Tribolium castaneum: one gene and its partners. Each later gene encodes a partner of the first gene's protein in a complex. Links are inferred from orthologs where the notes say so. Each region holds a gene or a part of one and is shown on either strand. Other genes may lie near its edges. The genes, in order: eIF3j, eIF3k and eIF3g1.

The links.
Region 2: eIF3j (region 1) and eIF3k share a complex: the UniProt entries of both Homo sapiens proteins name them as parts of the eukaryotic translation initiation factor 3 (eIF-3) complex. The link is inferred for Tribolium castaneum from reciprocal best matches to the Homo sapiens genes EIF3J and EIF3K.
Region 3: eIF3j (region 1) and eIF3g1 share a complex: the UniProt entries of both Homo sapiens proteins name them as parts of the eukaryotic translation initiation factor 3 (eIF-3) complex. The link is inferred for Tribolium castaneum from reciprocal best matches to the Homo sapiens genes EIF3J and EIF3G.

What each region holds. Positions count from the first base shown.
Region 1 is NC_087396.1:21,287,036-21,290,571, forward strand, and holds eIF3j (eukaryotic translation initiation factor 3 subunit J), read right to left. Parts: upstream 2,064-3,536; 5' UTR 1,749-2,063; coding exon 1,736-1,748; intron 1,676-1,735; coding exon 1,590-1,675; intron 1,545-1,589; coding exon 1,437-1,544; intron 1,391-1,436; coding exon 1,093-1,390; intron 1,041-1,092; coding exon 904-1,040; intron 860-903; coding exon 809-859; 3' UTR 565-808; downstream 1-564. Other genes in the region: Srp54 (probable splicing factor, arginine/serine-rich 7), read left to right, coding at 2,324-3,536. UniProt on the Homo sapiens protein: Component of the eukaryotic translation initiation factor 3 (eIF-3) complex, which is required for several steps in the initiation of protein synthesis.
Region 2 is NC_087402.1:8,161,778-8,164,635, reverse strand, and holds eIF3k (eukaryotic translation initiation factor 3 subunit K), read left to right. Parts: upstream 1-1,353; 5' UTR 1,354-1,460; coding exon 1,461-1,513; intron 1,514-1,573; coding exon 1,574-1,793; intron 1,794-1,845; coding exon 1,846-2,220; 3' UTR 2,221-2,265; downstream 2,266-2,858. Other genes in the region: Syx13 (syntaxin-12), read left to right, coding at 182-381, 428-834, 888-1,066; gem-associated protein 8, read left to right, coding at 2,809-2,818. UniProt on the Homo sapiens protein: Component of the eukaryotic translation initiation factor 3 (eIF-3) complex, which is required for several steps in the initiation of protein synthesis.
Region 3 is NC_087395.1:17,787,897-17,790,824, reverse strand, and holds eIF3g1 (eukaryotic translation initiation factor 3 subunit G), read right to left. Parts: upstream 1,672-2,928; 5' UTR 1,555-1,671; coding exon 709-1,554; 3' UTR 660-708; downstream 1-659. UniProt on the Homo sapiens protein: RNA-binding component of the eukaryotic translation initiation factor 3 (eIF-3) complex, which is required for several steps in the initiation of protein synthesis.

The DNA of each region.
Region 1 (3,536 bases):
GACAGTTTTTGTTTGTTGTGTAATTAATTTTAGTGGAATTTCGAGTAATTACAAAGGCGGGATTCTAATCAAGTGTGTGTGGCATGGTGGCAGCCCTGAGTCTAAAGACGCTTGCTTTTTATGACAAAAAAGTTAACATGGTGTTTGTGTTTAGTTTTAAAAAGTGTTTAAAATCGGGAAAAGTCTAATGAATCAGTGTTTACATAGTGTCATCGTGGAGGTAAGCACCAATTTTGCCATTTTTACAACAAATATTGTGATGAAACTCGGACAGGAATACCAACAACGGTACTTAAATATTCAACATTAAAATAGATTATGGTCTCAAAAAGTTTATAGAAGCGGGGTCCACTTGTTCTATAATAAATTTCAGCATAAATGTGTAATAATTACACGTCAGAACGGCGTAGACGGGATTTAAATTGCGTGCGTGTGGCAACTCTGTGTCTAAGACACTTGATTCTTTTTTAAATAAAACGCAATCATTTTTTTGAAAAATTATATTGATATTAACAATAATTGCATCAAATCCATTGAATACAACTTGTATGCAAATCCATACAATAATCGCCTTAAAATACAACTTCTATATCAGTAGCAACAAAAACCAGCAACTCATTAATTAATAATGACTCGTTACATTAGTATAGAAAAACACAAAACGGTGAAAAAAAAGTAAAAATTATTAACCATATTGCATGATCATTACACTACACCTTTTTAAAAATACCGTATAATTTAACAATATTTATATTTATCGAAGATATTTATTTAAAAATTAAAACCCTATCTAAACCGCTGCAATCTGCTACATAAAGTCGTCGTAATCGTCATAGTCGTTAACATACGCTGACAAAGGCTGCAAAAAAAATTAACCCAAACACTTGTAAAACCACAACTTACATTTCCATCATCCAGTCGTAATTTAGCCTTGCCTTTGCCTTTGTTTTTCTTCGATTTCTCGCCTTTCTCGATTTTTTGTTTCTCTAGGTATAAATTATCTAACGTATTTTTAATTTTCTTAATATCTAATGAGGACACTGCAAGAACATTCATCATTAACGCTGTTTTAAATTAAAACGAGAGACGTACAAGTGGCACACAGATTTCGTAGTAAGTTTTCGGTGAACACCGGATACTCTGTGCTTTTAGCTAGAGGTTGGAGCTTCTTAGAGAGAGCGTCTGTAAAGTCCTGAAACTCTTCTTTAGTAGTTGGCAGCGTGAGTCCGTCTAAACCTGAAATGTTTGTGCTATTGGTGTCGCCCCCAAACGTCGTTTCTAGCGCTATTTTCAAGTCCGATTCCTTCTGCATCCTGAGCTTCTCCTCCGGGGAGATTTCCTCCTCCTGTTGCTCCCTCAGCCTCCGCTCCATTTCTTCCTTCCTCTTTCTCTGAATAAGGAGAAATTAGATTTGTCACAACTATTGCGATACCCACTTCTTTCTCTGCGATTTTGTCAGCGATTGACTGCTTCTTGGGCTTGGGTTTGGCCTCCTCGGCAGGCGCCGCTTCCACCTTCTCCTCCTCCTCATCCTCCCAGCTTTCCTGCAGGAAAATGGTAAATTTTTGGCAGGAATTCACTCATTTTACCTTGACGTTGTCGTCTTCGTCCTCGCCTTCCCATTTGTTGGACGCAACCACAGGTGTAACAGATGGAGGTTCGAAGTTATCGTCGTCTGAAACAGCCCCATGTCAAATTTTCGCTCAAGTAGTGAAAGAATTGACTAAATTTTTACCCCACGATTCCATATTGGCGAAAATACGGCCGAAATTAGCACAAAACGACCTCAACCTCGAAATTCACGTGTGCTGAATAACGTGCAACTGCACCAGAAACCGCCAGATGACACTGTCAAAGTGTCACCAAACCAAACACTATCTTTTCTCGAAGCTTCCACAAGTACACCGATTTGTAGATGTATCAAACAATACGTTTCGGCTTTTTATGTCTCTTGCAAGATGAAAAGTCAGCGAAATCAGGCGAAGTTGAACAATTCACGAGCGAAAATAGCCCTCGAACACCCATCTCACCCTTGACAGAAACCAACTACGCCTGCCAACCGGCACACAATTAAGGCACCAAATTACAACCAAAGTGCAAGTTTTACAGGCTATTTAACGCCAAAGATTTTAAATAATTTGAAATTATCCTTTTGGGACAGTCATAAAAAGTTTTAATTAGGACGATTGGCCATAAATTGCTTTTTCACCGCGTTTTTCATCATTGAACAATAGTTGGCGACACTTGCTGTCATTTGACTTGTCAATGTGCGTCGTTTTACGTTTTTTAAACTCGTTGGAAAATGTTAAAATAGTGCGTGAAAATGGTCGTGGGTAACACTAAGGTGGTCCAGGTGACCAACATAGCCCCCCAGGCCACCAAGGACCAGATGCAGACGCTGTTCGGCTACTTGGGTAAAATCGAAGACATTCGCCTGTACCCCACGATTCGAGACGTCTCCTGTCCTGTCCAGTCCCGGATTTGTTACGTTAAATTCGTGGATTCCAGCACGGTAGGTGTAGCCCAACACATGACAAACACTGTTTTCATCGACCGGGCCCTAATTGTCATCCCTGTGATCAACGGGGACATCCCCGACGAGTACTACGCTCTGGAGATGACCCGTAACGGGACCATTGTCCCCGGGTTTAACGTAAACGAGCCAAAGTTGCCCCCACATGTCTCCAATTCGTTCCAAGGCACAGGCGAGGAACGCGTTGTTGTCACAAATGACCCCCATTTGACTGACAATGGCTGCGCCCCCTATCCCCCTTTGCCGGCCAAATACGACTCGATCAAAGTCGAGGAGACTCGTCGAACGGTCCAAGTGGTCAATATTGACCCCGCCATACCCACAGATGAGATAATCCAGTATTTTTCACAAGCCGGTGAAGTGAAGTATTTGAGAGTGTGTGAGTGCCCCAACGACAACACCACGCACATTTTGATCGAATTCACGGAACAGCCAAGCGTCGTGAACGCCATGAAAATGAACGGTGAAGAGTTCAAAGGCAAGCCGCTGGAAATCATTCACGCCACTCAACCAATCATGAAGCCCCAAGCCAAAAGTAACGAAGCCGCTCAGAAGGAAATTGAAGAAGCAATGTCTCGCTTTAAAGAGGCTCAAAACATGATCAATGCCTCGATTGAGCCAGTTATCGGAATGCTAACTAAAGATAAAAGGAGCTCGCGACGTTCCCGCTCAAGATCTAGAGGGCGTAGACGCCGCTCACGCTCAAGGTCACTCTCGCGTGGTTCACGTTCACGTCGTCGCCGTTCAACGTCACGTTCACGCCGTTCACGATCACGTGACCGGCGTAAACGCTCGAAGTCTCGCTCTCGGAAACGTTCGGTTTCACGTACGAGGCGTTCAAGGTCGCGCGAACGCCGGTCAAGGTCGAAATCGAAGGGTCGCAGTAGGCCAAGGGCCAAATCTAAGACTCGGGATAGGTCGAAAGATAGGAAACGGGATAAGGATCGCAAGTCAAAGGAGAGGGATAGGAAGTCGAAGGAAAGGGATAAGAAAGAGAAAGATA
Region 2 (2,858 bases), on another chromosome or scaffold:
TTTTAAAATGTGAGGTATTTCAATTATTCAACAATAAGCTAATTTTGTTTCATCCCCGAGGCCACAATTGAACTCACCCCCTTGTTATAACAATAAGTCACCTGATCTTTCCTACTCCTAACCTCAGTTTTAAGTTTACGAAACGTCAAATCACAAACGAAAAGGGGCGTCGAAGACAACAATGAGTAAACATCCCTACAATTACGGTGCTACTGCGTCCACTGACGTAGGTTTCATCGGTAAGCGCTCCCCCGAATTCAATAATTTATGCGATGGCGTCGTAACAAACATTTACACAATCAACTCAAGTCTCAAGACCTTAGACAACGCTTTAAAAACAATCGGAACCAGAAAAGACAATCAGGGATTAAGAAGTTCAATGTAAGTCTTTTCCCTTCTGGAATTTCAATCACTTCCCTAATTCTAGACACGTCACTCAATTGAGCACAAACCAGATCGCATCAGTCACAAGCAAAGACATTCACAAGCTCAAGCAACTTGTATCCAAAAGCGAGAAACAGCAGCAGTTGCAAGTAGAAAAGTTAGAAGAGAATTTTAAAGAAGCGATCACGCGCTACTATTCCTTACAAAAGGACTTGGCCAACAAGCAGAAATCACATTTATTGGTTTCTGTAAGCATAGAAAATGACTACACGCCGGAAGAAGACACAGAACAGCAACGGCAAGCTCAGCTTGCACGCGAAATGGCGTTTGAGCAAGATATGCTCATGGAGAGAGAAGCTAGGATTAAACAAATTGAAGCCGATGTACTTGATGTTAACGAAATCATGCGCGAATTGGGGTCCTTAGTGCACGCCCAAGCGGAAACAATCGGTATTGAGCTAACTTTTAAAAAAATCGGGAGATTAATCAACTCTTTTTTTAAGATACTATTGAAAATAGCATAGACCATGCAACTGGCAATGTGGAAGAAGCGACAGAACAGTTAATTACAGCAGCGAGTTATCAGAATAAGTATAGGCGCAAGTTGCTATTCATGGTACTGATAGGACTTGCAATAGTTGCAATAATTATTATAATACTAGTTGTACAGTTTAAAAAGTAGCTGCGTAATATTACTTTTCTTTATAATTACTCAAACCTGTTTTTGTGGTGAATAACTGCTTGATATATTTATATACAGTATACACAGACTTTTTATAGCAACTAATCTTATCATAGAATTTATATTTATTTATGTAATTATCTTAATCACAAAATATGAATGATATTTAGTTTTTTTGTATAATTATCCATAAAATTCTATGAGAACCGCAAAAAATAAGTAGTGACATGAAACACTCTGTAGTTAAAATGTAGGCAACACATAAAACAACAGTTCCCTATCGCTTACAGCGGCCTCTGTTCCAAAAACTTTGAATTTTAAACGTCATTAAGACGTGTTTTTTGAGAAAGTTGTGCTTTTTTCTCATTTTTTAGTGAAAAACAAATTGAAAACCATGGCCGAAGCAATGAAACAAACTGTGGCAGCAATGCTTAAAGGCATTGAACGGTATTGTTATTCTTTTATTACGTTTTTTTACCATGCATTGGACTTAACCTCTATTTTCAGGTACAACCCTGATAATTTACCGACTTTGGAGCACTACGTGGAGATACAATCGCGCGAAAATGCCTACGATTTAGAGGCTAACTTGGCCGTCCTTAAATTGTACCAATTTAACCCTAGTAGCTTCAATATCGACATCACAAGTCAAATCCTGCTCAAGGCTTTGACAAACCTTCCAAACACGAATTTTATTTTGTGCAAATGTCTTTTGAACGAACGACAGGTTAATAAATTCAGTCAATATATTTGTTTTGCAAAAAAAAAACATTTTTTAGCTGGCGGAAGAACCCATCAACCAAATTATCTACTTGGCCGACATTTTGGAACAGTGCGATTTTCAATTGTTCTGGACCAGAATCCACTCAATGCCAGAGTTGACCCAACGAATTACCGGATTTTTAGACTCAATCCGGAAATTTGTGTGTCACGTAGTTGGAATCACGTATCAGACCATTGAAAGGTCCCATTTGGCCGAATTATTGGGAGACGTTGATGACCTTACGTTGAAAGTCTGGGTCAATAAGTATGGATGGAAGGAACAGGGCCAGTTGATTTTCATTGCCAATCAAGACGAAAACATCAAAACTAAAAATATTAACGAGAAAATCGATTTCGAAAATGTCGGAGCCATTATGGCTTCATGTCGCTGATTTGTATTTTAATTTTTCAATAATAAAATAAAACTACTTCGTGTCTACGGACCTCTAAATGCTAGGATACGAAACGACCAAATAAATCGTCCCCGTCCTTGATAGTTCCGTTAATATCACCAGAGAGCGCAGTTACTTGAGTTTTCAGAGCAATGAACTTGAAAAAATGGTTGCATTTGTGTAATAGTTAACACACAGCAATAAAAAAATACAAGCAAATTGGGGATTAAATTTCAATAGTAAGACAAACAATGCAAAAATTTTATCGTAAATTATATTTTAAATAAATTAAAACTTTTGGCACTGTGTCCCATATTTTTCAAAAGGCTGCGAATACGCTTACAGATACAAAAAAGTGTAAGGAACAACGTTGTAAAGAATTAAATTTCCTATCAAAAAATTCGCGACACCATATCTTTGGCACTCAAACCGTTGATGGTCTCCCAGACTTTTTAAAGGAAAATATAAATTTCTTCCTTTTATTTTATATCTTGTTTCGTCTCCTACAGAAGTAATAATCTGTATTCGTGTGATTGTTTCGGATGGGAACCCCCTCTATGTACAGTCCTGCGAATGAAGTTATACAATATGGAAGATGGTTAGTTCTAGTGTTTCATGCCAAACTCTCAAGACCAGAG
Region 3 (2,928 bases), on another chromosome or scaffold:
ATAGAGTTGCGGATTAAAACTTTTAAACCGCTACTATATAAACAATTGCTTTAGTATTTGTTTTGACACAAATAAACGTAAGTTTAAAAAGCAAAATCGAAAAAAAAATAAAAGGAAAATCCTATATTCGCATTTTAATTATTGTCCAGTCAAGTTATTACTTATTAATATTAAATAACCAGAAGGTTCTTTGATTGGTTAATAAATCTTTTAGTTAGTTTATTAACCTTTTATTTTATTTTTATTGGTTAGTTTATAACCAAAAACCAACCTTATTTATTTGCTAAATTAGCCAGCAATAGTTAATATTTTGCAGACTTCTTAAACTATTGTCTAAGATTTTTTACCTTTTCAAAAAAAACAAAACAATTAACTAGCTTTAGCAAAGTTCTATCAGGTATTGTATGCCTTTACAAACCTCTCGAGTTAAAAAAACTCAATTGCTTGGGATTTTTTATTTTTCCGAGAAGTTACCGTAATGTTTACCTACCGTTTACGCGAAAAATGCTAAGAGCTGATAGTTTCAACACTTGAGAATTTTCTATATTTTATTTTAATAGTGTACCTAAGACCTGTACCAATCTTCACCTCTGTTCGAATTATTTAAAACTGAAATGTCTACGTATTTTGTTGTATTGTAGGTTTGAAAAAACGCAACATTAGCTAAAGCATTTTTATTCAATACAAATAAAACTTATAAAATACATTTCAATTAGGGTGTGGCTTAGACCAATCCACCGTGAGTATAAGATGATCATAACCGTGTCCATTAAGCATAGAAATGGCTTTAGCAGCGTCGTTCTTAAACTTGAAATGAATATAAGCGAATCCTTTGCAATAACCGGCTTGTTTGTCTTTCGCCAAATACAACTTCTGGATCGGGCCAAACGGCTTCACCAGATCCTCCAAATCAGTCTCAGTGGTAGATTCACTAAGATTGGTGATTCGAATCGCCGTGGCGTCGTCTCTGCGCGCCATATTGAGATTATCGGACTTCCTGACGGCCCCATCTCGCAAACTCGGCGGAATGTACTTGGACCCCCCGGCCTTGCCCGCATCCGACCCTGACGGAACCGCCGGGCCCTTCTTGTCGTCGGGCACTTTGCCCCCGGCCAGCATGGTGTCCTTCCAGGGGCACTTGGAGGTCCAGTGGTCCCCGCTGCAGGTGCGGCACTTGACCACGTTCTTGTCGCCCAGAGCCTTCAGCTTCTCCAAAGCGTCGTCTTCCTGCTTGTTGTCCTCCTCCTTGCTCGTGATGTACTGCATGTACACGTCCTCGGCGACGATCGTGGTGGCCGGGTTCGGGCCAGGCTTGTCGTTGGCACACTCGCCGAATTTCTTCCAAGTCTTGCGGAAAGCGATCGATTTTGAAACGACGCGCTTCTCGATCTTGTAGGTCCGCACGATTTTCATTTTTTTGTCGTCTTCGTTGTACGCGTATTCGGTCACGATCTTGAAGCCGTTTTCGTACACCTCGGTCGGGGGCGGGAGCGACCCGCCCTCCAACTCCACCTCGTCAGCCCAGCTGGACTTGACCTCTTCGGCAACAGGCATTTTTAGCTAATTTTGAAACGTTTTTTTGGAAAATATGGTGCGACAATCACGTTCACAAAAGTTAACCTCAAACTGTCAAACAACAGACTCGCCAACCTTTGGGGAATTTCGTTGCAAATTATTTATTTTTGTTTTTTGCAATACAATTTAATTTTGTTGATATTTAATAAAGCCATGTATTTTAAAATTTATTTAATAAACCGATTAATAAATAAACCCCGACAAACGGGGCTGTCGTGTTACAAACCCACAAACACATAATTACAGGATTCTGTAATGAAATTTTAAAATTGGGAAACTTATTCGGAAAGGTGGCTTTGAAAACCATCAACTACTAGATTTTGTACACAGAAAATGTGTGACTTGTGTTTTGCGTTCTTTTGCCAATAGTTAATGTTTTGCATTCTTAAATTAGTTAAATTTGTGTCGGGAGTGTTAAATTTGCATCCGTTTATTGGCTATAATAAAGTTTTTTTGCTTGTGAAACTTTCTGTCGCAACTGTGTAACGCCGTAAGTATACCTACATTAAAATAGTTGATATTTTGGTTCATGTTGCTTCTGATGATGTGCAGAAATGCAGCTTATTATTTATAAATGTATTGTCGCCAATTGAGACATTTGTGAAAATTTAGGTATCCTTCTAGAAGGCTACGGCTACGATTCTGTTGCTTTAGAAAAAATCTTTCACAGCCTTCTAGAGAAGAAACATTCTGCGCCGCCTTAGATAAAAAAGAGAAATTGAGTTAAAATAACTTGAAATGTCTCTGAAATCCAATAAAAATACGATTATGTATAAAGGGAATGCTAAATTAGATCTAATTAAATTTTCGTCCATTCAGAGAAATATGTAAAAATTGAGCAACGTGATTTTAAAAAATTTGATTTTGCTAATAGAGGATCCCAGCTAAGGTCGTCCTGGACCGATCTGCTTACTGGATGAAACTTATTTTTTATCAAACATAATATCCAAAGGATGTATTCAATGGGTTGCCAAAGAAATGTGTTCCAAACTATAATAAAGGGAGCTAAAAAGAGTCGAATTTTGGTCACATTCCACAGTGTTCTACAGCACATTTTTTAAACTGATTTCCAGGATACATTCTTTTACTCGGGCTGTAGGCGAGAAAGTTTTTTAAAATGCGGTCACTGCTTTATCTAATTCTGAAAATAATTTTTAAAACTGAAAAAAAAATCAAAAAAAAATCTAGTCCTCTTTGAAAATTATTATAAATTATATAAAAGTGCAAAAAAATATAGGGTGTTCTATTTAAAAAAACATATGTTTGCATTTTAGCTAATTTCAAAAATACCCTATAATACCTGAAAATAATTTTAGGTGAGTCAAATTAATTTTCTAAAATTTAAGCCAATAA